Linked DNA regions of Daphnia pulex. The protein of the gene in region 7 purifies or fractionates together with the protein of the main gene of each other region. This does not show direct contact. Links are inferred from orthologs where the notes say so. Each region holds a gene or a part of one and is shown on either strand. Other genes may lie near its edges. The genes, in order: E3 ubiquitin-protein ligase Arkadia-like, YY1-associated factor 2-like, titin homolog, eukaryotic translation initiation factor 3 subunit J-like, FACT complex subunit Ssrp1-like, protein kinase C-binding protein 1-like and casein kinase II subunit beta.

What was found.
Region 1: the proteins of casein kinase II subunit beta (region 7) and E3 ubiquitin-protein ligase Arkadia-like purify together in Homo sapiens (co-immunoprecipitation; 3 studies listed by BioGRID and IntAct, with this or other methods). This does not show direct contact. The link is inferred for Daphnia pulex from reciprocal best matches to the Homo sapiens genes CSNK2B and RNF111.
Region 2: the proteins of casein kinase II subunit beta (region 7) and YY1-associated factor 2-like purify together in Homo sapiens (affinity purification with mass spectrometry; 5 studies listed by BioGRID and IntAct, counting the BioPlex papers as one, with this or other methods). This does not show direct contact. The link is inferred for Daphnia pulex from reciprocal best matches to the Homo sapiens genes CSNK2B and YAF2.
Region 3: the proteins of casein kinase II subunit beta (region 7) and titin homolog purify together in Homo sapiens (affinity purification with mass spectrometry; 3 studies listed by BioGRID and IntAct, with this or other methods). This does not show direct contact. The link is inferred for Daphnia pulex from reciprocal best matches to the Homo sapiens genes CSNK2B and PHRF1.
Region 4: the proteins of casein kinase II subunit beta (region 7) and eukaryotic translation initiation factor 3 subunit J-like purify together in Homo sapiens (co-immunoprecipitation; 3 studies listed by BioGRID and IntAct, with this or other methods). This does not show direct contact. The link is inferred for Daphnia pulex from reciprocal best matches to the Homo sapiens genes CSNK2B and EIF3J.
Region 5: the proteins of casein kinase II subunit beta (region 7) and FACT complex subunit Ssrp1-like fractionate together in Homo sapiens (co-fractionation; 5 studies listed by BioGRID and IntAct, with this or other methods). This does not show direct contact. The link is inferred for Daphnia pulex from reciprocal best matches to the Homo sapiens genes CSNK2B and SSRP1.
Region 6: the proteins of casein kinase II subunit beta (region 7) and protein kinase C-binding protein 1-like purify together in Homo sapiens (affinity purification with mass spectrometry; 3 studies listed by BioGRID and IntAct, with this or other methods). This does not show direct contact. The link is inferred for Daphnia pulex from reciprocal best matches to the Homo sapiens genes CSNK2B and ZMYND8.

What each region holds. Positions count from the first base shown.
Region 1 is NC_060024.1:8,994,934-8,999,138, forward strand, and holds the start of E3 ubiquitin-protein ligase Arkadia-like, read right to left. Parts: upstream 2,801-4,205; 5' UTR 2,640-2,800; intron 2,577-2,639; 5' UTR 2,488-2,576; coding exon 1-2,487. Other genes in the region: UDP-N-acetylglucosamine transferase subunit ALG13 homolog, read left to right, coding at 3,145-3,252, 3,318-3,737; SAFB-like transcription modulator, read right to left, coding at 3,818-4,205. UniProt on the Homo sapiens protein: E3 ubiquitin-protein ligase. Required for mesoderm patterning during embryonic development. Acts as an enhancer of the transcriptional responses of the SMAD2/SMAD3 effectors, which are activated downstream of BMP.
Region 2 is NC_060019.1:11,515,374-11,518,718, reverse strand, and holds YY1-associated factor 2-like, read left to right. Parts: upstream 1-1,233; 5' UTR 1,234-1,361; coding exon 1,362-1,393; intron 1,394-1,566; coding exon 1,567-1,622; intron 1,623-1,695; coding exon 1,696-1,765; intron 1,766-1,835; coding exon 1,836-1,988; intron 1,989-2,067; coding exon 2,068-2,284; 3' UTR 2,285-2,845; downstream 2,846-3,345. Other genes in the region: ubiquitin-conjugating enzyme E2 N, read right to left, coding at 3,210-3,345. UniProt on the Homo sapiens protein: Binds to MYC and inhibits MYC-mediated transactivation. Also binds to MYCN and enhances MYCN-dependent transcriptional activation. Increases calpain 2-mediated proteolysis of YY1 in vitro.
Region 3 is NC_060023.1:11,578,726-11,583,013, forward strand, and holds the end of titin homolog, read left to right. Parts: coding exon 1-3,211; intron 3,212-3,273; coding exon 3,274-3,402; intron 3,403-3,470; coding exon 3,471-3,572; 3' UTR 3,573-3,788; downstream 3,789-4,288.
Region 4 is NC_060019.1:7,843,391-7,846,624, forward strand, and holds eukaryotic translation initiation factor 3 subunit J-like, read right to left. Parts: upstream 1,963-3,234; 5' UTR 1,898-1,962; coding exon 1,876-1,897; intron 1,743-1,875; coding exon 1,648-1,742; intron 1,404-1,647; coding exon 1,344-1,403; intron 1,281-1,343; coding exon 1,088-1,280; intron 1,000-1,087; coding exon 829-999; intron 766-828; coding exon 575-765; 3' UTR 501-574; downstream 1-500. Other genes in the region: secretory carrier-associated membrane protein 2-like, read left to right, coding at 2,304-2,360, 2,530-2,637, 2,697-2,798, 2,859-2,940, 3,007-3,135, 3,225-3,234. UniProt on the Homo sapiens protein: Component of the eukaryotic translation initiation factor 3 (eIF-3) complex, which is required for several steps in the initiation of protein synthesis.
Region 5 is NC_060026.1:11,629,052-11,633,217, reverse strand, and holds the start of FACT complex subunit Ssrp1-like, read left to right. Parts: upstream 1-1,366; 5' UTR 1,367-1,534; coding exon 1,535-1,585; intron 1,586-1,657; coding exon 1,658-1,843; intron 1,844-1,910; coding exon 1,911-2,126; intron 2,127-2,193; coding exon 2,194-2,369; intron 2,370-2,426; coding exon 2,427-2,562; intron 2,563-2,638; coding exon 2,639-2,742; intron 2,743-2,804; coding exon 2,805-2,933; intron 2,934-3,006; coding exon 3,007-3,114; intron 3,115-3,177; coding exon 3,178-3,361; intron 3,362-3,421; coding exon 3,422-3,527; intron 3,528-3,579; coding exon 3,580-3,881; intron 3,882-3,951; coding exon 3,952-4,166. Other genes in the region: coiled-coil domain-containing protein 25-like, read right to left, coding at 49-130, 198-400, 458-637, 708-799, 862-934. UniProt on the Homo sapiens protein: Component of the FACT complex, a general chromatin factor that acts to reorganize nucleosomes. The FACT complex is involved in multiple processes that require DNA as a template such as mRNA elongation, DNA replication and DNA repair.
Region 6 is NC_060028.1:7,383,018-7,386,975, forward strand, and holds the start of protein kinase C-binding protein 1-like, read left to right. Parts: upstream 1-1,158; 5' UTR 1,159-1,310; intron 1,311-1,378; 5' UTR 1,379-1,501; intron 1,502-1,572; 5' UTR 1,573-1,613; coding exon 1,614-2,140; intron 2,141-2,232; coding exon 2,233-2,379; intron 2,380-2,438; coding exon 2,439-2,627; intron 2,628-2,695; coding exon 2,696-2,825; intron 2,826-2,883; coding exon 2,884-3,297; intron 3,298-3,360; coding exon 3,361-3,489; intron 3,490-3,604; coding exon 3,605-3,723; intron 3,724-3,789; coding exon 3,790-3,958. Other genes in the region: myotubularin-related protein 9-like, read right to left, coding at 1-29, 92-372, 452-620, 686-832. UniProt on the Homo sapiens protein: Chromatin reader that recognizes dual histone modifications such as histone H3.1 dimethylated at 'Lys-36' and histone H4 acetylated at 'Lys-16' (H3.1K36me2-H4K16ac) and histone H3 methylated at 'Lys-4' and histone H4 acetylated at 'Lys-14' (H3K4me1-H3K14ac).
Region 7 is NC_060025.1:6,073,023-6,077,077, reverse strand, and holds casein kinase II subunit beta, read left to right. Parts: upstream 1-1,393; 5' UTR 1,394-1,533; intron 1,534-1,564; exon of another isoform or gene 1,565-1,634; intron 1,635-1,902; 5' UTR 1,903-1,906; coding exon 1,907-1,978; intron 1,979-2,207; coding exon 2,208-2,310; intron 2,311-2,383; coding exon 2,384-2,575; intron 2,576-2,695; coding exon 2,696-2,994; 3' UTR 2,995-3,555; downstream 3,556-4,055. Other genes in the region: FK506-binding protein 15-like, read right to left, coding at 1-46, 115-266, 339-437, 524-674, 736-897, 978-1,033. UniProt on the Homo sapiens protein: Regulatory subunit of casein kinase II/CK2.

The DNA.
Region 1 (4,205 bases), on a different chromosome or scaffold from region 7:
TTCCAAACGCGTTGAAGGACGTAAAAATGGGTAGTGATGTGGTGATCCGCTCAAGAATGGACTGTTGCCCAGTGGGATCAATGGTGGTGGAGGATGGTGGTGGTGACCGTGCTGCTGGTGGTGAATGTACAACGGGTAGCCACGGTGGTAAGGTTGCTCCTGCTGATGGGCTGGTTGGATTTCGACTGCTGCGGCACCTTGAACACCGGGCATGGCAGGTGGTGGAACGCGTTCCATTGGTACGGTTCGAGGTGGTGGTGGTGGTACTGCGGGCGGGATGGCTGGTCCTGGACCTATACTGATATGCAAATTGCCAGGCAGACTGAAATGGGCAATGTGGTGGTGGTAAGACGGAGCAAAAGCATAGGCAGGAGGAGGAGGCAAATGGTGATGGCGAGGATCTAAATTGACAGGAGAACTTTCAACGACAATTTCAGCTTGAACGGCCGGCATCATGTGGCTACTCAAATCGGGAGCGTGAACAGTTCTGAATTGTGGCGAAGGACTGCTGTTGCGCTCCAGTGCAACTGGATGATATGGAGGAGGCGGACCAGAGAAACCAGTGGGTTGTTGTTGATTTTGAATGCCTTGACTCATCATCGGAGAATCCGGAATCGATGACGGACCGCTAACTTCGACGGTTTCTCCAGCTGCGACACGTTGTGCCATGTCCATATGACGTCGAAGAGCTTCTTGCGAGCGGTGCTGTGAATGCCAAATCCTCTGGTGAATGGGATGGATACGCATGAAGCTTCGAGCAATGGCAGGCGGCATCGTACAACGTCCGTCCACGGGTCGTGAAGTGGGGGCCGCATGGTAAATACCAGTTGTTTGAGGAACGAAAACGGGTGCAGGTTGAGCGACAGAAGTGGCTTCAACCAGCTGACTGGGTTGCAGTGGAATGGCCGCAGCCTGATTAGAAGATCCATCTCCTGCTACGTGTTGAGGTGACGGAGTGGCTACTGTTTCAACGGCCATACTTGGATAACTCCACCAGACGGGCGAACGAGCTCCACCGTGGGTTTGAACGGTTGACGGCAAACGTAGAGTCAGAACTGGCGGTGGTGGAGGATGGTGATAAGCTGGCGGTGGTGGTGTATACGAAAAGGCAGTGGCATGATGAGCTAGCGGAGATGGTCGAAGAGACTGATTAGGAATGTAATGTGCTCGTATTGGATTACCATTGTTTGGCCAAGCTACACCCATGGGCGTGGGCCGTCCTCCGTCCACGTAAAACTGCCCTGGACATCCGCACCAAGCACCTGGGCGGTTTCCTGCAGAGGACGATGGAGTAACGGACACAAAGGCCGGCGATGCTCGTCTTACTTCAGCGTCTGGCTGATTGTTCTCTTCAATCACAACCGGTATTGGTGCCATTGGAGGCTCTGCTTTAGGTATAGCTCTTGACTTTACAGACGACGATGGTTTGGGCTGTCTCCCAGTAGAACGAGAATAGCCCGACGATGTAGAAGGATTGGGAGTCGACGTTTCGTCTTCTGAAATGGTAAGATCTACGACTTCGGGTTGATGCTGAGAACGCAATAGACCAGGTCGGACGCTTACTACTTCGATGCAACTATCGTCATCGTCAATGTCTGATTCGGTAGCAGAGGAGGAACCGTCAGTCAGACATTCTAATTGTAGATCATCAGCAACTGGGCCATCATCGCCAGTTACCGTTCTTGCAACTCCGATACCCGATGGACCGGGTACAGGTTCTCCACCAGAAGTCTCGGCTTGTTTTTTGGACTTCGATGCGTTGCAATTTGAATCCTGTTGAGTTGTATTCGGTCTTTTTCGGCGGACATCAGATGATGAAGATGATGCTGCTACAGCAGAAGCAGCAGCTGGAGGAAAAGATTCTACGCGGTTACTGTTGGCCCAATGGGGAGGTGCTGGTGCCTCCTCCAGTCCAAAGTGAAAGCCATCGACGTGGCTACTGAAGGAGGCAAGAGAAAGAAACTCGTCGACTGGGCCAGGTGAGAGAGAGGGATCGAAATAAGGATTTCGAGTGATAGTGATCTCTCTCTCCCCACTCTCCATACTGTCGTCAAGGAATACAGGATCTGGTGGTCCAGACAGACTGTACACTGAAGGTTGCAAGTTAACACTGACATTAATACTTGTTGGCATTTGAAGAGTCAATGGCAAAGTTTCATCATAGTGGAGTGCAACTGGGGGTGAGAGCAGCTGTGACGGCATCAAGACAGGGCTGGGAGTTTCTAATTCTGGCATGTCCAAATCCTCTTCATCAAAATGGCCTGATGGACATTCACCATCAATAGAAGGGCAATTCCTACTAGGTGTTCTGGGCGGATTAGTCCTTCCATTTCCAAATGCCAAGTGATTGTTTGTTTCTTCTGCTGAAAGTGATGTTTGTTTCGGAACATTTTCTGTTGCTGACTTGCTACTATTTGTTCCCGAGCTATTGGATCTTTCAGTGTCCATTGTATTTTTTCTAGACGGGCCAGCTTGTTCGTCACCCATTATTGATAACAACTCACTCGATAGAGACGGCTCGAGGCAAGATGCTCCCAAGGGAAGAAAAGACGATGACGTTTTCCTCCCTACACCACCTGATGAAATATGTTTATATAATGAAACCATTTGTCATTAAAATTAAGATTAGTTTGACTTACCATTAAAGACTGAAAAACAAACTTAACAGTAATCCTGTATGAAAACTCGGTAAAGGGCAAAGAGTCACGCCAATCAAGTACAAAACCCTTTCTTTCCAGTTAAGGACAGCTGATGAGACAATTGTCTTTGCTGTAAACAAGTGCCAACGGTGCTGCCAAGTGCCAATATTTCGGTCAACATCGATTTTTTTACTTATTTTTGGTTGTAAGTTTGAATGATGAAATGATTCATTAAATAACTTAAAAATAATTACATTTATGAGTTAAGAATTTCTAAATTAATAAAGTTTACGTAATTTTAGAGTTCATTCAATAATATTTAAAAAAATATGAACAAAACTGTCATCGTCTCTTTTCCTTTTGCCTGACTGGCTGACTGACATTCTGACAGATTAGTTATTCGTTTTTTTGAATAATAAATATCACAATTTCGTAAACAAGTTGAGAATTTTTTGTGGGGAATGTCCATAAGTGAACTGAAATACTAGTATTGCTGTCGTTCGAAATGAGTGTGACACATAAAGAATCGGGAAGTAAAATCGTTTTTGTTACTGTAGGGACTACCCAGTTTGACGAATTAATAACTCAAGTTTTGCATCCAAACACGTTAGAGGTATGTTCGATATTTACGTTGCATTACACATTTTTCCTAGTAAATAATAATGTATAAAATTTGAGCATCAGATTTTGGAAGATGATGGGTACACACATCTTGTTCTGCAAATTGGACTTGGTGTTGAACCTCCAATTCCTATTTCACGAAGAATACAAATATCTTGTTATCATTTTAAAGAAAACATTTCTTCTGATATGGAAAAAGCCTCCCTAATCATTTCACATGCTGGTGCTGGCAGTTGTCTTGAGGCCCTCAGTGTAGCAAAGCCATTAATTGTTGTGGTTAACCAGAAGCTGATGGGCAATCACCAGCTAGAACTTGCTGAGAAGTTACATTCTGAAGGACATGTTTATATGTGCTATCCAGAAACCTTAAAAACTACCATTGTTGATTTTAGAACTACTAAACTCCAGAAATTTCCTAGAAATAATCCAGTTGCATTCTCAGCCTACCTTGAAAAATTGATGGGATTTCAAAAATAAAGTTCAATTTGTGTATTGATTTCATACATTGTAAACGTCTAAGTTGAAAAAAAAAAACGGTTGGATATGATGCGATAAAGTTAGTGTCGCGAATAACGATCTGCCGAATAGCCAACGGATCCAGACTGCCCGATAACAGGGTTGTTAAGACTCCCTATGTTTCCTGTCGCTGGATTATATTGCGCGGATCCACTAAGAGGGGGAGCTGATCCAGTCCAGTTGTTATTAAATGATCCAGACGACGCCATTGACCTTCCGACAGGCATTAACGAGGATGACGATGCGCTCCAGCGATCTTGTTGCGTACTTCCGTTGCCAGACCAGCTGGTGTTAGAAGACAATCCAACTCCATTGCCCAGCATGGTATTACCGCTTCCATTGGAACCGTAATTAGTTTTTGAACTTCCAACTCCTCCGCTTGATACGGGGGCATTCGCACTGGAAGGGCCTCGCTGCCAGGGCTCAGAC
Region 2 (3,345 bases), on a different chromosome or scaffold from region 7:
TTGGCCTCCACCGCCATGTCCGCTGCCTCCATGATGGTAGAAAAGATAGACGTTGCGCCAATTTTTGGTGTTCAATCCGTCGCTGCAGCTGAGACAGAGCCATCCTTCCAATGAGCTCTTCCTTGGAAATGGCCCAATTGTATATCACTTCCGGCGCAAGTGGACCACATGGCAAAGACGTAGAGACAATAGAGAAGTCCAGCTCCCCAATCCGCTTAGATAGCGGATAATTTCCAGCAGGGCCAGCACCAACATGAGGATCCACGTCAGCAAGACGGCGTGTCGCGTGTCCGCCTTCTTCTTCTCGTCGGATTGAACGGCAGAGTATCGCAGCAGTACAGGACGCATAGGCCTATCCAGCGAAACGTACCAGAACACTTCTTTCCGGGCAATTGGCAGTTAGTGGAATGACGAGAACTTCGCGAGAACGTCATACCGAGGCGTGACTGGAACTTTTCTCAGGTGAAAGCCACCCATTCGGCCGTTCCGTCTTCACGCGTCTTCATCGTTGCTGGGTAGGCTGTGTGTCATTTACTGCAGGAACATGAAACTTTTCACGTTGGATCGTGTAATCTATTTTTGTGTAGGGTAATACTCGGCCTGCGGTCGAGAGAGACTTTAGCGGCGGCCGTTGTGGCGGCAGCGGTGGCCAGCACCGCCCGGCAAGGGCTGACAGTATCGCTGACGGCCTTGCTGGCTGGAATCAGCGACATAGCCATCAATGGCTAGTCGGTTGTCTCGGGGTGGCTATAGCATCCGGAGAGAGCTGGGGATAGAGTAGGGTGGTGTCATATCGCACTCCCGAAATTGTATGGATATTCAAGTTCATTTTCATTTTTCAAGTTCATTTTCATTTTTCAAATTCGTTTTCATTTTTCGAAATCATATTAGTTTTTCAAATTCATTTTAGTTTTTCGAAATCATTTACATTTTTCAAAATCATTTTCATTTATCAAAATCATTTTCAATTTATGAATTCATTTTCAAAACGTTTTCAATTTTTGAATTTATTTTCAACTTGATTTCAATATTCAAAACGATTATCAATTTGTTTTTAAATCAAATATGGTAATCGATTTTTGAAAAGTTTTTTTGGAAAAAGTGTTCAATCCGCACCCCATAATATTTATTATATAGTGTAAAGCATTTGATAAAAAGAAATTCTTTCCAAATCACAATGTTTTGTTTTGAAAATAATGTCAAAGTTTCCGTATCGATCACACGATAATCGATATCTTGTTTGTAGCCGAAAAGCACAGAATAACGCGTATTAATAACGTATTTTGTAATGCCATTCCTACATTTTAATTCGAAGTTTGCGAGTAGTTGAATTATTTTGATTGATTCACATCGTTTTGATCATGGATTCAAAGAAAGGCAGTCCAAATGCAAGGTAAATTTATCCATTTATTTTCTTTCGATTTTGAGGGAAGGACTTGGGACAATCGTACACCTATTGTGTAGCCTTGACCGACCATATTCTTGTTTTTATTTATTTTTGTAACTATGAATTATGCTAGTTATAAGTATTTCAATCATATTAATGGGGGTTTCTGTACCTTCAAGAAGGGCGAAGCGGAGTAGCAAGCAAATTGAAGAAAATTACTGGGACTGCAGTGTCTGTAAGTTGACAAAGCGCAATATGAAAACAAAAGATGTTGACAAATGGTGACGAACATTGTATTATTTACATAGGTACCTACAGAAATAATGCAGAGGCATTTAAATGTTCAATGTGTGATGTAAGAAAAGGAACCTCAACCAGGTAATTTTTCCTTAGCAATATTACCATTTCTAAACATTTAACAGATGTGACAAAACTTGCACGTTTTCAGGAAACCAAGGCTCAATCCTCAGTTGGTACCTCAAGTGTTCAATCCTTCCTTAGCTAACAAAAATAGAAAAGAGAAGGAATCTAAAGAAAGAGATAAATCTGAGAGGAAATCATCAGATGGAAACCCCACCAGGAACAGTAAAGCCAGACCAAGGTATGTTTTAATAAAATTGTTAAAACAAAATTTGATATCTATCCTTCAGTGTGACTTGCTAATTGTTTGTTTAAAATAGGTTGAAAAATGTTGACAGAAGCACTGCTATGCACAAAGAAGTGACAGTGAACAATGTGACAGTAGTCATTACTGAGTTTCGGCCAAAAATTAGCAGCAAGTCAACATCTCCCAGTAACCTTGATCTGGATGCTGGACACACGACCAGTAGTTCTAGCAGTAGTGCCAGCAATCACGGCAACGATCTTTCCCCTGCAGATCAAGAACATTCAGACTGACTAAAGTCGTTGCTCGTGATTCATTTTTTTATTATTATTTAGCATCTCGAGGTATTTTATTTGAACTGTATTTGTTTGCGCACCCAATTGACCCCATACCGATCTTTTCTCAACTGCCAAGAAGTATATAATTTTTAAATATCTATAAAGGCTATAATTTGGTCCCAACCGAATTTCAGTGAGATAGAACTGGAGCGACAGACGTCCAAACCGAAAACTATACATGAAAAACCAAGAGGCAGTTGTCTATAACTATTCTGGATTCAAAGTTTTTCCCTTTTTTTTTTTTGTAACCACGAAATTCCATAATGTTGGAGATTATTTTTGAGTGTTGGGAATTCCTGTTTCTGATCGGATCTCAGTACCAATATTCGCTTCCCTTTTTCGGTTTGAACCTACCTCATCTGAACGGTGCGAAGAGGTCGGGGAAGATTTGGTAAAAAATTGATTATGTCTGTCGAGTGGATGGTTTTCGTTTCGTGATAAATGTGCGCTCTCATCCGTCTTTATAATTTCACCCTCCTCATCCACGACAAGTAAATACACAGCTGTACAATTTGATACTCTAGACTTCCACGGGTGACGGCATTTTTATTATTCTTTAGTATCCTTTTGAGGTACTCGTGGTACTAAACGGTAAAAAGTGTAGGCTATCGACGATCATTTTAACGACGCGTGAATTGGAATGAACCGTCGATAGAACTTTTGACGAGCAAACAAAAGAAGATTGGGATATAAGAACGAGCAAAATGTAGTTTTTTGGCTGATCACCATCGGGGACAGTTCAACCAATTGAAGGGAGGGGAATCAGTCGACAAAGGCTGATGGACGAGGAACAAAAGAAAGCAAAATAATCTAAATTCAAACACAATTTCTCGGTAACGGATTGACAATTTTACTCTTTTTCCTTCCACAGATCCAGGTTTCATATGTTTCCCATAGCATAAGTTCTGGTCCATTCTCGAGCATTACGAATAGCTTCTACCTCGTTGACTTTCCACAACTCAGCAACATCATTGGCCAATGGATCATCGGGATTGGGCGCACTCAATAGAGCTTGA
Region 3 (4,288 bases), on a different chromosome or scaffold from region 7:
TCCAGTGAAAACGGTTGAACCTGTGGTCAAAATTGAAGAACCGTTGGAAACCACCGAATCTGCTGTATTGGTTTCTCCGGTGGTTGTGGTTGCCCCAACAGAAGCTGGGCTCAAAAGTGCTGGACGGAGGCAGAAAATGGAAGACATTTTTGGAAGTGACGATGACGATTCCAGGAGAGAGATCAACCACCTTGAACAGATATCGGATTGTGAAGAGGGCGAATTAGACGAGAGTGAAGCCGATCAAGACGATTCAGATGAAGAACCTCCACCTTCCACAAACCGGATTGTGCGGATGCTGACTCCTCCCCCTGCCTCGCTGAAGCGACCGCTTGAAAAAAAGGGTCTCAAAGATTGTGAAGAGGGTGAGATTGTGGACAAGAAAGCTGCCAGCAAAAAGCGTGCCAACGCCAAAAAGAAGAAATCCACCGGTGACGAAGTTATCGTCAAAACGGAAGACTGCGAATTCTTACGGTCTGCTGGTATTGGAGGCGAGAGGAAGGTAGAGCTGTCTTTGGAGGACGAAGGTATTCCTTCCACATTCAAAAAGCTGGACAGTGGCAAAACTCGTCATTATCGTCATCAAGGTGACATCAAGGTGGTGGAAGGACGTGGCGACGTTAAACCGAAAAAAGAACAAGACACGTCAGACGACAAGAGATCGAAACGGCAAGAGATTAAGCATTACGACGTCCGGCGTGTGGTGGAGAAAAGATCTCGCAGCGATCGGCATCATTCGTCCTCCAAGTCGGAGCATCGGTCACGTTCGGATTCGAAATCTAAAAGCCGAGAACATTCGTCCAAGAAGACTAGCAAACCTCGACGTAAACGAACTTCCTCCTCATCGTCGTCGAGTTCTTCTTCTTCCTCATCATCTTCGACTTCCCTTTCATCCCTATCACCTGAACGCAAGAAAGGAAAAGAGAATCAACACAAACGGTCGAGATCTTCGTCATCCGATGGGGAGCGAAAGAAGCGCAAGACCAAGTCGTCGCTCAGGTCCAAAGAGAGAAGCGACGACAAATCATCAACGAAAGAAAAGAAGAAAAAGGGGAAGAAGAAGAAAAAGATCAAAGACAAACACAAGGATAAGAAATCTCACACAGCTTCGGAAGGGAAAAGAAGTGGCGAATTGGGGGCGCTGGGGGCTGATCCTAATGCAACTTGCGGTGATGATATTGAAATACCCAGTAAAGCTGTTTTCGCATCGGGTGACAAGATTGTCGTCAGCCTTCATTTTGGCTCGAGTAGTTCCAGTAAACCCCTGGTTAAAAAGAAGAAACGAAAGGCCGAATCCAAAGATCCTGTGAGTAGCAGTAAGAAGATGAAAGAAGAAGTTCGATCATCTCCAGAACGGACGGATCGATCCAAAAAGTCACAACCGCCTCCTCCTTCTACTCCCGTGACAAAAGCTGAGCCGACTGAGAAGGTTCACAAAAAGCCTCATTCTAGCAGCAAACCGGAACCGTCGACACCCAGTAAACAAGCAGTGGTGAAACCGCATTTAGAATCCAAATCTCCAGACAAACATTCAACCACACCAGACGGAAGTAAAGGAGTCAGTTGCGCCAAAGAACCTACCCAGAAGCCGATGCCGCCAACTCCTAGCCGACGTGGGGAAGAAGGGAGAGACGTCATGCGAGGAAGAGGTCGAGGACGTCCAGCAGGAGGTCGACCCATTCGACCTCGATCTAAGCCTGTCTTGATTGACATAGAAACGAGTCGAGAAATTCCGTTGGACGATGCTCGACCTAGCGATGTCATTGTCTTGTCGGATTCTGTTGATTCAGATGAAGAACCGCATCTTCCACCCCTGCCACCTCTACCTCCGCCCGCACTGCCATCTCAACAACTTCCCCAGCTTCCTCAAGCTCAACATTCAACACCTCAGCCACCTCCTCCCGTACCCCTCACGAAAGGCTCTTCGGCGTTGACTTCCATCAAACCAAAGAGCGGCGGAGGGAAAAATCTTTTGTTTTCAAAGCATGGAGCAGCGGCCGTCAAATTTTCTTTGGCTTCTAAATCAAATTCCATCAAGAAGCTTAACAATCCGTTGCTTCTGTTGGGTGCCGCCGAAGAGGAGGAGGAAGAAGAAGAACAGCAGCAGCAACAGTCGACGACATTGGAAACTAGCCCCAGTAAATTGCAGAAAACAACACAAGACAACATCACGGATTCGACCGGGAAGATGAAAGAAGATGACAATTTTCTGATGAATCTTCCATTACCAGATGGTCCAGGTCGAGTGGTACATTCTCCTGCCAAGGCAGCGGGCAACGTCTCTCCTATATTCAGACCAGCCACACCACCGGTCAAAGCAGTTTGTGCATCACCATTGCCTACCTCCACCTACGATCCGTCTCAACCGACTCACACTCCTTCCAGTGGAGGTTCAACCCCGTCACGTTCACCCAGTCCTGTGATGGCGTCAGCAAAATTGCTGTCAACTCTGCCTCCTTTGCCACCTCCTCCAACACCGCCCATGATGCCCTCCTTCCCTCTTCCTCATCCTGGGGCCGTGCTGATGCCTCCGATGACATCACTCCCTCCACCACCTCTTCCACCTCCTCCGCTGCTGACCAGTGCCCCACCTCCTTATGCAGTGCATGCTTCAAACTTGATTTCGGGAGTGTACAACACTTCGTTCCCTCCGCCCAATATCGCTGGATTGCTTCCTTTGCCTCCTGCAGTGGCCCCGCTACTCAATCAGGTGATGAAGGTGACTTCAACAGCGCCGCCCCAGCTGTCATTTTCAACGTCGATCGCTATCCATGGAAAACCCGGTCGACCAATGACACCACCATCACCGACGCCCAGTGAGGGAAGTGACATATTTGGTCCGCCGTCTGCGTCTCCATCATCCCCCATGTCTGATCATGAACCTCAGCAAAGTCAAGTTACACCTAGCAGTAAACCACGCCAATCGGCCCCATCTCAAATACCGACGTCTTCGGCCAATGCATCCAGTAGCTCAAGTTTCGACTCCATTTTAAAATCAGCCAGCCATCAACGTGTACGCACCAGCAATCAACGATCGGCGTCGAAACCAACCCCCAAGATTTCGCACTCGAAATCAGCAGCTAAACCAACGCCCGTCAAATCGGCGCTACCTGCTGGAACGGATCCGTCGGTATCCATTACGACGACTATAGGCCCAGATGGCAATGAAGAATGTCCCAGTTCGGCGGTCGAACTCCAAGTCAAAGAAAAGGTAAATTTACTAATTTATTATTGCTTACCAATTGAATGTTTTAACAAATTCTTGCTTTGCAGTTTCTCAAGAAATTAAACCGTCAAGAGAGAGTGGTGGAAGAGGTTCGTTTGGCACTCAAACCATACTACACCAGCAAACGTATTTCCAAGGGCGACTACAAGGAAATTCTTAGGAAATGTGTTCCCAAGGTAACATCTCCGTTCTTCTGCGCTCAACTTAATATCGAACTAATGTGGTCAATCTTTCTGTTTGCCAGATTTGTCATACGAAGAGTGGCGAAATAAATCCCATCAAAATCAAAGAAATGGTCAAAGGTTACGTCAAAAAGTTCCGCTACCAACATAAAAAGGAAGTTTAAAATCATTTGCAGGAAGCCCTGATTTGACTATTGACGTAAACAAATGAGTTTTCGAAATAATTTAAAAATCGACAAATCTTTCTCGCCCATTAATTATTTTTGCGAAATGAATGGTTACCATTTCATGTTTTGGCCCACCATGTAATTTTTTTTTTCCAGGTTTGCAAGATATTACACATATGTTCACATTTTAAATTAAATATGACATAAAAACGATTGATTTCATATTATTACATTATTCTACTTAATGGAAGTCATTTAAACTGTTGCCAAATCGACTCTTCGACTTCGAAAATAGTTCAATTAAATGTCTTCATTCATTTTCATGCGTTTGTAATTTTATTATTTGGAAAGACGGAAGTGAATCTAACGCAGATATTGATTTTAAAAATCCCATGTCGTTATCACAAAACAAAAGAACATCTAGATGTAGACTTTAAAAAAAATTCTCGAAAATATTTCGATATCAATTCTAACGATTAATAATTAAACGTAAAAAAATATCTAGATTTTTCTCGAAAAATAAAATAGTCTACTTAATTCAATTTTGTTGATGAAAACCGCGTTTTTTACGTTACGAAACATTAGTTCTAGAACAGTCTGGCTAGTTCTTGAGTGTACACTAGCGCCAGCATAAACGTTGTTGCCGTCTACGGATTCTGTGAAAACGACTGTTTCGAGCGTTTTCCAGTCGGTGTCTGTCTCTCTCTGTGTTC
Region 4 (3,234 bases), on a different chromosome or scaffold from region 7:
AACGCCATATAACGAGTTAGAAGTATCGACCAAACAACCACTTTTATGCCACTACTAGTCTGCTACTCAGCAGGAAACGCACGTGCTTCATTTATTGATTAGGCATGCAGCCGGCTGCCACGGCAACGATTTCCATTACATTTTAAAAACAAAACCCCCCTAATCCCCTCTCTTACGCCCACTGGGTATCAAATAAGGATTCACCAGTATACAAATTTGCGGGGTACTCAAAACTCAAATTTAAAAAAATAAATATTGAAAGTTATTTGCTTACTTTTGACAGTGTGTAGCATTCAATGGGACAAATACATCTAACTACATCTAACTTTACAACTGTCACCATCTCCTTTTTTGACGCTAAAAGTAGAAAACTGGAACGTCTAAGAAAATATGCAACTTAACTCTATATATTGAATTAGAATAATTAAGAGGGAGGTTTTAACTTTTAACAGAAATTCAATCTCAATATATCTTAAAACACTGAAAAAACTGACAAGAGCAAAATGGCAAAATCATACATTTATTTTACCAATAAACCTTTTCCCGCCAAAAACAAAAGAAAAACAATTGGACCCTACATGAAGTCGTCATAGTCTCCTCCTCCGAAATCATCACCGAAGTTGTCGACCATTCCTTTGTCCATTTTTAAAGCAACTTTTGTTTTTCCTTTCTTTCCACCTTTTGTCGCCGCCTTCACCATCTTGAGTTTTTCTTCGTGCAAGGATTTGGTAGTTAGACTAACTTTTCTAAGGACTTCGACTTCCACTATGTTGAAAAACTGGGATGTAGAAAAGTTTTTAGCAACCAACATTAGAAAATGTGACTTACATCCAATGCAAACATCTTTAATGAAGTCCTCTATAAAATCATTATAGCACGCTTTAGTTGACAATGACTGAAGTTTTTTCACCAAGTTGTTCTTGAATTCTGAGAATTCCTCTTTAGATGAAGGGTTTGCTTCATCTATGCTTCCCTCTGTAGGCAAACTACCAGTAATTCCTGGAAAATAAAAATAACATTGAGAACAAAATATAAAACAAATCATGCTTAGTGCAGGTCAGCAATACAGTTTCCTAAGACAACTTACCAAAGGTTTCCTTGGCCATTTCAAAATCTGATTCTTCAACTAGTTTTTGTCTCCGAAGCTTTTCTGCTATTCTCTCTTCAGGTGTCATGTTTGCTTCCTGCAATATTTTTCTGGCTTCAGCTTCTTCTCTGCTTTTCTTTTCTTTTTCGGCTATTTTTTCTTCTAATCTTTTACTTGACTTTTTTTTGGTAGCCTGAAAGTAACAAACACATTTTAAATTTTTTGGATACTTTTACGAGAGATCACATGTACTTACTGTGGCTGCTGCTTTGACTTCAGCAGGCTTATTTTCTGTTTCTTCATCTTCCCAGCTATCCTATCATTTATAAACAAGAAAAAATGATAATTTTGAAATCAATCACAACTTTATGTAAAACTCATTGAGCAATAAGAATTTTTTGGCAAAAGAAGACACATGGTAGTCAAGTGAAAGTTGTAAGAATTGGAGCAGAAATAGAAAGGTACTGAGAGAACTTTTTTTCACTACAAGCGCTACAAGGTTCTACCAAATTTGTAGATATACTTACTACTAATATCATCACAATTGAATTACAACTCACCTTGACAGGTTCATCTTCATCCTCACCTTCCCATTTATCTGAAATTATGGCAGTCGTAACTGGAACAGGGACAGAGGGTTCAAAATCTTCGGCATCTATAATCACCACAAAATCGTATTTGATTAGAGTATACGATTAAATGGAACTTTGATATGCACTATTGAGAATTTCATACAAAAAACAGGTGGAATTGAATAACTTAATATAGAAATAATTAAATAAAATCACCCCAATCCGCCTCGGCCTCCATCTTCAACGAAAAATCGTGAACACACTAGTGTCCATGGCAGTTGCCAAATGCTTTCACTTTTCTAATAATGTTAATATGTGCATTACAAAATATTAAATATAGAAACCTAACAATAATTAAATTTTGAAACTTTATTGCAAACCTTTTATTATGAATTATTTAATTTTTTTTACCTGAGATATCTCGTTAATCCCAGCGTTGCTTAGTCTAGTGTTTCTGTCTTCCAGAGGCGCTAGTGTTTGCCTGTTTCCGAACTGCTTTTCTCTGACATTACCTGTTATTTAGCAATTGATAGGAGTTTCTGTCTGTATTAGTTGAGTTGACGTTTCACGGTGACCGTCGAAACAAAAGTTACCGCAAATTGGAGTAACAAAGTGACCGAAGTTAAAAAAAGAAATATTTGATAATGTCTGGATTTGATCAGAATCCTTTTGCAGAACCGGCTGTTTTCAACCCGTTTGCGGTAGATTATTTATAATATGTATATTATACTTACTATTACCATACTAATACCTTGGTTGAAAACTGGTGATTCATGGAGTACTCGCCGCATACAATATGAAAGAAAACCTTTTGAAAAATCACCTTGTTTATTAGTTTAGTGGTAAAGTGGTTGTTTACTTTCACAATAGGATCCATCTGTCCAGCAAGCTGCAGGAAACAATGCTGCGAGAGCTCAGCAAGGTCTTGAAGAATACAACCCTTTTGATGGTAGTAATCAAACTACCAGAGTTTCAATGGTAAAACATAATTTTATCATGAAAGTGGGAAGTGTGTTTGATTTGTTACAAAATTTAAGGACCGTGTTGGTGGAGCCAATCCACCCCCAACAATTCAAGCTGCCCCAGTGATATCTCCAGGACCACAACAACAAGCAGCTATGTCAAATGCGGATTTTCAAGTATTAAAACTTAAAAAGAAAGAAGGAAATCTTTATTCATTATATTGCATGGTTTTATAGAGACGTCAAGAAGAACTAGAGAAGAAAGCTCAAGAATTGCAGAGGCGAGAAGAAGAATTAAAGAATAATGTACCATTCAACTGTAGGAGAGAACAAATTTAAATGAAACTTTACTTTTTAATTTCTGTTATTTACTTCTTCATTACAGCTCAGCGCAATAATTGGCCACCACTGCCTGACAAGTTTTGTGTCCAACCATGCTTCTATCAAGACATCAATGTGGAAATCCCACTTGAATTTCAAAAAATTGTCCGCATGTTATACTATATTTGGATGCGTAAGTTAAACATATCATAGATTTCTTGTTTAAGTTTATTTTTGTTATCAGAAACTTTTATTGATTTTGTTTTGTTTCTTTATTTTCAGTGCACACCCT
Region 5 (4,166 bases), on a different chromosome or scaffold from region 7:
GTGATCGAGTTCGCATACACTCGGCTGGTTGTTAACGTAAGCGATTTCTTACATGAAGTCATCGGAATCGTTTCCATCATCATCTTTATTGGTCTTCATGTTCGTTTGCTTCAGCAAGCGATCGTAGCTCCTAAACATGTAAAAATTAACATTTCTGTGTAAAAAAATAAATATAGTGTTTAGTAAATCAAGGTCACCTTAGTTCAGCTTCATCCTTTTTTCGCTTTTCTTCTTCTCTCTCCCTTTCTTTTTGTTCTTTAAGGAGCCTTTTCTTGTCGTCTCTTTCTGCACAGTCTCTCTGTTCTCTTTCAAACCTTAAATCAGGTTTTTTCTCAACTTTGGTTTTGTTGAGACGGTTTACAATTTCATTAATTCTTTTCTCCACCCTAATCTTGCGAACCTATAAAACTTGATTGTTAGATAATGGATAGGAACACATTAAGAAGGAAATCTGTACATCTTTTTCTTTGTGAAATCCAACTTGTCCAACTTCCATACCAGGAGTCTTTTTCAAATTAGACCACAGGGTGTAAACAACATCAATGTTGTTCATTTTATTCCCTTGGATGCTGTTCGCTTTACATAATTGTGCTGCATCTTCTAAAATGGCTGCTGGAATATCATCAATTACTTGACCCTACAAATAAGAATAGTAACAGAGCTGTATTAAAAATTGTTTTATTTGATTTAATAAAAAAAACCCTTACCTTGTTTAGTCGTATGTAAACATGGGCTGACGATAGCTTGTCAACGTGGAACCAAACATCTTCAGGCCATCCCCACTTGATCAACTCCTCATCTAGTTGTTACTACAAGGATTAATAATCCCATTTTATATCTTACTGATTGATTACTTCTTACTTTCATGTTTTTCTTCTCCCATGAAAAGTGCGCAACTGGGTTGAACGGCGGTGCTGACGAAATAGAAAACCATTTTAAATCTTAAAAATATAGTCAACTAATTTGAGAGGGCCAGCGAGAAAACATTCAGATCCAAATTCCAATTTTTTAACACGTGGATATACTATTTTCTACAATAGTAAATGCAACTTGACAATCCGCCTTGCGGCTGACAGTACTTCGGATAACACTAGAAGAATACGGTCGATCCCTCTTGACCACTTTTTGATCTTTTGATCATGTAAAGCTCTAGAAAATCTATGGTAGTGAGTGCCATCTGGAGTCTCAACATTGTAGAATCCACATTCCACAATCCTGAAATCCTATCCAATCCAATCAACGAAAAATCCTCTTCCCCAGTTTAAATTTCTACTTAAAAATAATTTTTCTATTAAACTATGATTTATTTCAAATGTTCAAATACGGTATCAAATATCTTTAAAATCTAGCGTTGCCCAAACGAGTTTCACTGGCAACGCTTTATGGCCATTCCTTATACTTCTCCGCTCGGCGCGAAGTAAAATAACCGACTGCTGGTGTTTTACATTGTTACGATTATTCTCTTGCTTTCCAGCTCGTCTAGTTGGATTTTTATTCATTTCGCCAATCGGGATTACAATTTTTTCGTTGTGTGATGGATTTTTTAGAGTTCTCTGATGTTTCAGCTGAAATTAAAGGCTCAATGGTAAGAGGCTCGCTAAATTGTCATATCGGCTGCACGTGAATCTTCTTCTATTGACAAAATTTTTTCTTCTAGACTCCAGGCCGTCTAAAACTAACGGATCAGAGTATCGTGTTCAAGAATTCCAAAACGGGTAAAGTTGAACAGATAAGTTCTTCTGACATTGAATTGGTTAACTGGCAGCGACTAGCTGGTGCTTGGGGACTACGTGTATTTCTCAGAACCGGAGCACTTCATCGCTATGGTGGATTTAAAGATTCAGTAAGTAATTTTTTAACATTTGAAAGCTTTTTTATTTTCAATTTCCTATTAATTTGGTTTTGTCTAGGATCAAGACAAGCTGGCAAAGTTTTTTACTCAAACCTACAAAAAAGACATGCTGGAGAAAGAGCTGAGTGTCAAAGGATGGAATTGGGGCCGTGCTGAGTTCAGTGGTTCAACTATGTCTTTTGAAGTTGGAAACCATACTGCCTTTGAGATTCCTCTAAGCAATGTGTCCCAATGCACAACAGGGAAAAATGAAGTCACCTTAGAATTCCATCAGGTGGGTACTATTATGACAAACAATGCTGCAGACATCTTACCTACTGCTTTATTTTCTCTAAAACTAGAATGATGATGCATCAGTCAGTCTGATGGAGATGCGTCTCTTCATTCAGTCCAATGATCAAGGTGGAGATGATGCTGTTGAAGCATTCCAGAAGCAGGTGATGCCTAAAGCAAGTGTCATCAGTGCTACTGGTGATGCAATTGCCATCTTCAGAGAAGTTCAGTGCCTCACACCAAGGTATTTTCTATCATTTGTACTTAAAACATTTGCTCATTTAGTTTTTATCCTTGACAGAGGTCGCTATGACATCAAAGTTTTCCAATCATTCTTTCAACTTCATGGTAAGACATTTGACTACAAGATTCCAGCCTCTACTGTACTTCGCCTGTTTTTACTTCCGCACAAAGATGGTCGGCAAATTTTCTTTGTAGTAAGTTACACATCTCTGAAAAAGAAATTAAGAAAAGAATCATCATTAATCTACATATTTTTATTGTGTAATTCAGGTAAGCCTTGATCCACCTATTAAGCAAGGTCAGACGCGTTACCACTTTTTGGTCCTTCTCTTTAACAAAGATGAGGAGACATCTTTTGAAATACCATTATCAGAGTGAGTAATTTTGAATAATTCAACATTTTCAACACGTCATCAAAAAACGTTTGTCCTAACAGGGAGGAATTGAAAGAAAAGTTTGAAGGCCGACTTTCTCGTGATTGTAATGGTCCAACTTATGAAGTTATGAGTACCGTCATGAAGGCCATGGTTAACCGAAAGGTCACTATACCTGGAAATTTTACTGGGTAAAATTTTATATTTTCATTTCAAGTGTTCTAGACTGATTTCACAGTTTCCTTCTTTTTTAATTATTTATAGCCATTCTGGAACCCCCGCTGTTGGATGTTCCTACAAAGCAGCAGCCGGATACTTGTATCCGCTAGAACGTGGTTTTATTTACGTTCATAAACCTCCTATTCACATTCGGTAGAATTCGTTTCCCTGAAATTTTTGTTTGCATATTTTTTAATTTATTCTTCCTTCGCACAGATTCGAAGAAATTGCAAGTGTTAACTTTGCTCGTGGCGGAGGAAGTACCCGTTCTTTTGACTTCGAAGTTGAGACCAAAAATGGGGTTGTTCACACCTTCAGTAGCATTGAAAAGGAGGAATATAACCGCTTGTACGATTTCGTAAACAACAAGAAGCTCCGCGTCAAAAATACTGGCCGATCCGTAAGATCTAGCAACCCATTGATAGTGTTTGTACTAATCAGTTTTTGTTGTACGTAATAGGACAAGTCCGCTCATGGGGATGATTTTGGCGATTCGGACGAAGAGGAAGCGCCCGACGCATATTTGGCTCGTGTCAAGGCTGAAGGCAAACAGCGTGACGCAGTTGGTACGTTTTCCTTGCTTAACGAAACAAAAGCCTTTCCACTAACATGTGCCAGTTGCAGGTGACGATTCGGGTGGAGATTCTGATGAAAATGACGAAGACTTCAAACCTGGTGAGGAAAGTGACGTAGCAGAAGAATACGACTCCAATGTGGCTACGACCGACTCGGAAGCATCCGACGCATCAGGTGGAGCCAAGGCTAGTAGTGCTGCGAAGGCTAGTAGTGCTGCCAAGGCTGGCAGTGGTTCTGGCAGTGATTCCGATTCCTCGTCCAAAAAGAAGAAAAAGAAGGACAAAAAAGAGGAGAAGGAGAAAAAGGAAAAGGAACCCAAGAAATCCAGTAGCTCGAAATCGGCGGTAATATCATCTTTCAATTTGCCAATAATTTCAGAATTAAAGTTTTTATCGTTTATTAATTTTGTTGTAGGCCCCTAAAACTCCCAGATCGCACAAATCCAAGAAGGATAAGGATGCAAACAGGCCCAAACGACCACAGTCGTCGTACATGCTGTGGTTGAACGACTCACGCGAACAGATTAAAAAAGATAACCCTGGCATAAGTGTCACAGATCTGATGAAAAAAGGTGGCGAAATGTGGCAGAAGGTTGAAGATCGATCTATATGGGAAGCCAAAGCTAAAGT
Region 6 (3,958 bases), on a different chromosome or scaffold from region 7:
TGAGGCTGACTACTTCTCATCATCACAGCCTGAATAAAAAGAAAAAGAAATAAAAATATTGCAGCATATTTATGATTAAATGGCAACTTACTCCTCCTTCATGCCTGTATGAGAGAACTGGAAATCTCCCTCCAACTCGAAACGATGCAGCAGCTATTAAGACGTCATCATCGACCGACTTGGGAACTACAACAGCAGATGGATAAGACGAGCAGATTGAATAATCCTTATTGACATAAGAAATCCTCCAGTCTTCCTGTTGTTGCATGACTAGTTTGGAAAATTCAGTTTCTGGCCTAAATGCTGTCCAACCATCTTCTATTGCAGTGTAAACTGGCTGATAGAAGAAAGGATAATAAAGAGACTGATTCTCTGTGGTAAAAAAATTATGATCTATTAGCAGGTGGTTTTAGAAGATGTAGGCTTATAAGCACCGATCTGTAATAAATACCTATGGATGATAAGCACTCCAATGAAGCTGAAACATTCATCAGTTCTTCTGTATTATTGAAATCAAAACTGATAACAGAAAAATCTTTGCACTTGAGTGTAAGAGTGCCTCCTGCAGCTGGAGGTGTGTTGGGTTTTCTTTCCACTAAATCTATGATTCTATGAATCAGCTGTAAAAATGAAAAAAAAAACAATGTGAAGGTAATTTACAAAAAACTTAATAAAATTGGTATACCCAAAATTCATCAGGATTTTCTCCTCCAGCAGAGAAAATGAGGTGGTGCCCAGTTATACATAGCACCCCTTCAACAGATTTGTGAAGTGGGCGGTGGACCAAAACCTTTTCTACCCTTGGTGACTTGATGAGATGTGCAAACTCCATTTTCACAGCTCAGCCTTCAGAAAGAGACAATCCATAAATCGGTTTAATGAAACCTAATAATTTTCCACAAACCTTGTATTGTAAGGATTTCTTCACCTGTCACAATCTCCAGCTGGACGATTTCAGAAACGAGTTGCGCGCGCAATTGATCGATAAAGACTAAATGAGGTTAAAAATACAGCATTCGCTTAAAATTTACAGTATTTTGGAAATTATTTTCATCCTGACAGTGAATTATCGTTTCACTTCATACCAAGTGAGCGTAAAAACGTAAACATTGGTGTCGTGAAAAGCAGAAAAAAAAAATATTTTTCATATCCCCAATTGACAACGTTGTTTGCTATATACACCGCCGGTGTGTCTTGTGTGTGTGACTGTGTGTGTGTGTGTGTGTGTAAAATAATTCTGGCGAAACCCTGAGCTGAAATATATCGCATGCTTCTGAAGTGGTTCAAGATTCGTGACACCTTTTTATAGAGTGGGTTTGTTTTCACGACACCATTATTGATGATGCTTTTTAATTTGTAACATTCTTCTTGTTTGTAGCATCATCACTGGACCGAAATATAGATAGCCTGTGGGCGGAGCTTGTTTGATTGAAAAATCCTCTCCGGATTCCGCCTGCTCTAGCGGTGTTTCTACGAAGCACAGGAAGGTCAGTCCTCAGTGGTATGCTTGCTAAATTCTACGTTCATTTTCCGTTTCGCAATAACATATTTATTTGGAATCACTAATTGCAGATATCAAGGGGACAAGGGAAAAACTGTGCTGCCTGCCCGGAATGGATAACGCTGCGACTGCTGATGTCATCAATGAACCTTCCAGTGATAGAGTCATGGAGGATGTTGGTTTAATGTCCAGAAAACTGAACAGTGAAAACAGTGAGCCTGCAGATAATGTGGCCACTGCATGTGAAAACTTCGACACTCTTTCACCTAGGGATGGCACTCCCCAACTAAATGGTGATGAACAGAGCCAGATTGATGATGATGAAGTACAAAGTCTTTTTATAGCTGAAGATTCTGAGGAGGATGAAGATGAAGACGTAGATGAAGATGTGGATGAAGAGGATGAAGAAATGCCAGAACTTTTAGACTCAGATGGTGCTGGGATTCAAACAGCTACAAAGGATGATGGTACTACTGGAGAAACATCAGATGAGGAAGCACCTCCAGGACTCATTCTTAGCCATGGTTCAATAATGAAGCAGGAAGGCAAGAATGTGGACAGTCTCTCAGGTGTAGTTGAAAATGAACAGTTAGAAGATGATTTACAGAGTCTTACTGACAAAGGAGACCAAAACCAAAAGTAAATACAAAAATTAAGTCTATACATTATTCCTTCTCAAGGGTTCCACATGGCAACAATTTCAAAAAATTCTTTTTAAATTTTGCATCTAGCATTAAACTGCAAGGAACTCCATCAGCAGCTCTAAGAAGATCCAGCAGGACTAAATTACCCATCAGCCCATCTCCAAACGACGTGTCACTTTCCGCAGGACGTACCACGCGATCACAGATCAATCCTGACATAATCGCAAAGCAAAAGTAAGGAAATCTGAACTTGTTTTTTAAAGCCATATATTGGAGATCCATTTCTCTTACAGGTCTTTCATGCATAAATACCAAATTGCTGTCAAAAGCTCTATGGACTCGTATGTTCGAAGTGCAACTAGCGAAGTTGAACAGGTTAAAGTGGAAACACAAGCCACAAAGCGCAAATGGGAGGATACAGGAGGGACAGATGCCGTGCATTCTCCTCATAGTTCTCCAATTCAAGAGAAAAGAAACAAAAAGTAACTAAAAAATGAAGCTGGCGTTACGAAGCATTTGTAACTAACTGTAGCACTTTTGCAAACTTTAGATCAATAACAAGCACTCCATCAACAGCAAGTACCCCATCGACCAAAGTTGGTAGCCATTTCATGGAATTGCAAAGCAAGACATTTACGCGCCATGACACTTTTTGCTGGGTGTGTCATATGGATGGCCAGGTAATGAGAAAAAAGTCCCAACGTTTCTGTGATGGATTAAAATGAAGTTTCTGATTAGGTATTGGAATGCAGACAGTGCCCGCGTGTGTTTCATCAACGATGCGTTCAACTTCAGTCCCCAATTCCGACTGATTGGACATGTACGGAATGTTGCTCTGTTCGCAATGCCGAAAAACATAACCATCTCGAGATGGACCAGTTAACTGAAATGCTCAACTTCGCTATGGAGCGAATCAAGTCGGTGGCTGACGCGCAACCTTTCTTTAAACCTGTTGACACGGAAGAATTCCCGCACTACACCGAGTATATTGTTAGTCCGGTGGATATCAGCCAGCTGGAGGAGAAGATTGTTCAAAGATCTTACACTTCCACTAGAGCTTTCCTGGCTGATTTCCGCTGGATCTTGCACAATTGCATAATCTTTAATTCGTCTCACTCAAAATTGACTAGCACGGCAAGAACGTTGATGAAGGTATTTTAAGGTTTAATATGATTTATTTCAAAATCTTAACCAAATCAAATTTCCCAATTGCAGGTGTGTAAACATGAAATGGCTGAGATTGATACTTGTGCCGATTGCTATGTGCATGCTCACACCAAACGAGAAACCTGGTTCCTGGAACCGTGTCAAAGGCCTCATTTACTGCTCTGGGCCAAACTCAAAGTAAATTTCATCTCAAGTCATTCTCACAAATCTAGTTTTAAGTGTTTTAAGTGGCTTGATAGGCACGTCCAATGAGCAAAACAAAAATTATTTAATGATTTGTTGTTTTCCCCAGGGGTTTCCTCATTGGCCGGCTAAAGCGATGAAAGCAAATAAAGAAGGCAATGTGGACGTGCGCTTTTTCGGTGCACACGATCGAGCTTGGGTGCCCGCCAAAGATTGTTTTTTGTACAGGTAAAACAAGAACAAGGTTTATCTTTTTGCAAAAAAAAATTAATGTCAATGTTTGTTTGTTTGCAGCCGCGAAATGCCTATGCAGTTAAAAAATCAGCGCAAAGCAAATTTGATTGCTTCAGTTGAAGAAGTTGACCAACACATCAAAAAGCTTGTTGAGCGCTACGGTTCTTTCGCTTACCCCTCGCCACGTACGGCTTACAACCCAAATAAGGAGGACGAGCAATTACAACAA
Region 7 (4,055 bases):
GATTGCTCCACTGAGGGGTAAAATGGGCTGACCAAGTTTAGCAATTCTGTAGTTTAGAAACAATCAAATATGTTTGCATAATACTTGGAATTATTTAACATTTACTTGCATTACCGAGATATAAGTTTGGTTTTGTTACTATCTTGACTGAGTGTTTCATTTGCAATAGGGTTTGTTAATGGGCCATCTATTCTATCAATGGAAGACGCTTCTGCAGATGATGGCTTATTCATGTGTCCAGCCAAAACATTTTTCATTTTATCAATCTACAAGTAATGTCAAATACATTTAAATTATAGTGAATCACATATTGCTTACACTTAACAATTATTTAATACCTCTCCAAGAAATTTCTGAGCAACTTCTTTGGAATCAAACAGAATTGCCCAGTTTTGCATGTGGTCATCATAAAATGTACAGAAGTTGTTTGGTTGACTCTGCAACAAAACAGTGGAGAAACATTATTTAAGTTTAAATAGTAGTGTAAATAATCCCCCCCATCCACAAAAAAAATTGTACTTACAATTATGGTAAATTCTGAGGTGACCCTTACACTTGCTAGTGGTTTCTGCTTATTTTGGTAAAGGATTATCTGATAAGTTTTATTACTTTCATTTTCTTCCAATAAGGCTAATCCTATTTTTCCAGGAAGTGGTTCATATTTTTCATTATTTCTGGAAATGATAAACAGGAGAATAAAATAAATTAATTCTTTGATTTGGCTTTCCTCCTTACAGTTTATAACATGTGACAGCAGCTGCAGCAATAACTGCTTGGGACATGCCCTTTGTGGTTGGAAGTGTACTACTTGGAGGTTGTTTAGGTGCCGTATAGATTAATGACTTTGAATTGGATTGGTGGATCCCCGAATCGTGAAATATTGATGCTAAATTAGAACTAAAATAGCGATTTAGTGTTATAATTTTTTATATCATGAACATCTATTCCTAATAGAAATGACTTAAGAATGATATTACTTAATTGAAATTGAGCCAAAGTCATCATCTTCTTCATTTGAAAAACCGAATGACATTTTCACAACATTGAGTAGAGTTGATAACGCTTCACGGCGGATATATATATTCTATTATCGTTTACTGAATGAAAATCAATAGATGGCGTTGAAAAGATTACAGACAAGATTACGATGGAATTTCCGAATAAATAAACAAAAAAAGCCATCTAGCGGCTAATATTTACTGGAAATAAATAAGAAGAGACATTGAAAAGCAACGTACTACCTACTAGGCCTACTTCATTTCTTTATATTTTCTATATTATATTTTCTTCCTTCAAATTGTGTGATTCTAAGGAATGGGTTCTCTTTAATCATGTTTTTTATAAGAAAACTTCGCGCTTTCACCACATAATCATGAATTCATAAGGAATTACTTGTACTGCACACACACTTCTTCTTGTTACTAATAGATGTCACCTTACAGAAAAAAGCCTGTGTAGAAATAAGGCCCTAGGAGAAAACGAGATCGACTTCGCACACATATTTGTTAGGGTGGCGAACAGAGGCTTGAAGAGGTAAGATTTATTGAATTTCAACTGTTATGTTTACGATTAATTGTATTCAATTTTGACTTGGAAAATATTCAACGAAACAGGAGGGGTCATAGTGTACACGGGTATGGTAATTTCGTCGATTCAGCAATTTTTTTAGTGAGAGTCTACATAAGAATGAGAATGGTGACTTGGGGAGAGTTTACATTACGTGTTCTGAAGGGAGAGGTGTGCACAGTTTGCACACGCTGAAGGCTAGACAGGGAGAGAGGGCGCGCATTGCAATCAGTAAACTGATGAGTAGAAATCATTGATTTTTGGATTTGTGAACTACATCAACGGCTTTGTTAAACGAATTACATCACGTTTTGACACAAATTTTCTCACCCATAGAAAAATGAGCAGCTCCGAAGAAGTTTCGTGGATCTCCTGGTTTTGTGGCCTACGTGGAAATGAATTCTTCTGTGAGGTAAGATAAAATTAAAATTAAATTTGATGTGATAGGTCAAAACATATTAGAGCACTTAATATTTCAATCAGTTGATCAGAAAGTGGTAGAATTTGACTGATGAAAATCACAGAATTTTCTTTGGATTTTGCTATAACAAGTGCATTTGATTCATTAAGACTTGGAAAGGAATAATTGTAATTTCAAATTTAAACAATTAATCTAAGCATATTTTGTAATTGCTCAACAGGTTGATGAAGATTATATCCAAGACAAGTTTAATTTAACTGGACTGAATGAACAAGTACCACACTATCGGCAGGCACTTGATATGATTTTGGACCTAGAGCCAGGTATAAATAACCAATTGAATTCTTTCATTCATATTCTTAGTGTAAATCATTTATCCAGTATTTTTCATTTAAGATGATGATGTTGAAGACAACCCCAATCAGTCTGATTTGATAGAACAAGCTGCTGAAATGCTTTATGGGTTGATTCATGCTAGATACATTTTAACAAATCGTGGAATTCTACAAATGCTTGAAAAGTATCATGCTGGAGATTTTGGTCATTGCCCAAGAGTATACTGTGAGAATCAACTGATGTTGCCAATTGGTAATATAAAAAAATATGATTTTATTTGTTATTACTATATATTTTACTATTTATTATATTTTTAACTTTCACTAGAAATTTATCTTTTATCTTGAAATATTTTTGGGTTCTCCTTCTCAGGCCTATCAGATGTTCCAGGGGAAGCTATGGTGAAGCTTTATTGTCCAAAATGTATGGACGTCTATACCCCTAAATCCTCCCGTCATCACCACACTGATGGAGCGTACTTTGGGACAGGATTCCCCCACATGCTCTTCATGGTTCACCCTGAATATAGACCGAAAAAACCAACCAATCAATTTGTCCCACGACTTTATGGCTTTAAAATTCATCCGTTGGCCTATCAGATCCAACAACAGGGCGCTTCTAATTTTAAAGTTCCGATGCGTACTGTAAGCTACAACAACGGGAGAAAATGAAACTGAATCTGCTTATTCGCCACTTATTCATTCAATGTTACCATTTAGCATAGGCGACGTTCAGAAATTATGTACTGCGATTTTTGGCTTATTTTTTTTACCCCCTCCTCCCCCTCTTGTCAGATTGTCACAAAAGCCCCAACTCTAACAAAAACGTAACGTTTGCCGACCCCCATCCCCTATTTTCTGGAACTTAATAAAAAACTGAATGAAAATTGAATTAAAGTTGGTGCCTACATTTGGTTCCATTAGTTAAGCGCTTAATTGATTGGTGTTTCTCGTATCAGCCTATTCCTTCATTTGTGCTGTTCGTTTTTATGGTGAAAAGGTCGCAACACAAGCTGAAGAGATATTATGTCATGGTGCGTCAAGAGTGTCTCAACCCGGAATCCCATTCGTTTCTCGAAACCCATCTATTTCTTTATGTTCCGTACTACGAATCTACTGCATAACTTTTGAACGTCGCCATAGCAACTCAATACCCTTTTGATTGGTTACATGATTAACCCGAGCTGTACAACAAATTTGATGGAAACAAAAGATAATGAATTTTTTTCTTGATATGTTATGTACTTTATTTGTCAGATATTTAGTTATCTTAACACTTATGCTTCAAATCTACGTCAGGAAAAAGACGTAGGATGTTATTATAACCGTACAATGTTATAGAAAAAAAAGGCCCAAAAACCTAATAAGCTTGTTAGCTCCAGTGTATAGGAAATTCACTACGCGGTGTTAAGTTACTTGGAATTCTATTAAGTTTATTTTACTTTTTTGTTTGATGAGATTTGTCAGATGAATAGACCTTTTTCACAATGCGGAAAGTCGGGATTTTACAATCCGGCAACGCCGCAATCGGCCATCTTTGTTCTAATTAATTTTTCCCCGTGTAAATTCCCATAAGGAATCGGGGTCCCTTTACTTTTAATTCATTTTCTACTTATTGGTGTCTTAAATCAAATATATTTCTCGTGGATCTTGTTCCCCGAATAACTGGTAACATTTTCATGTATGGTAAGTATTACTTGTGGCTTATATTAATTATGTAATTTGAACTTTCA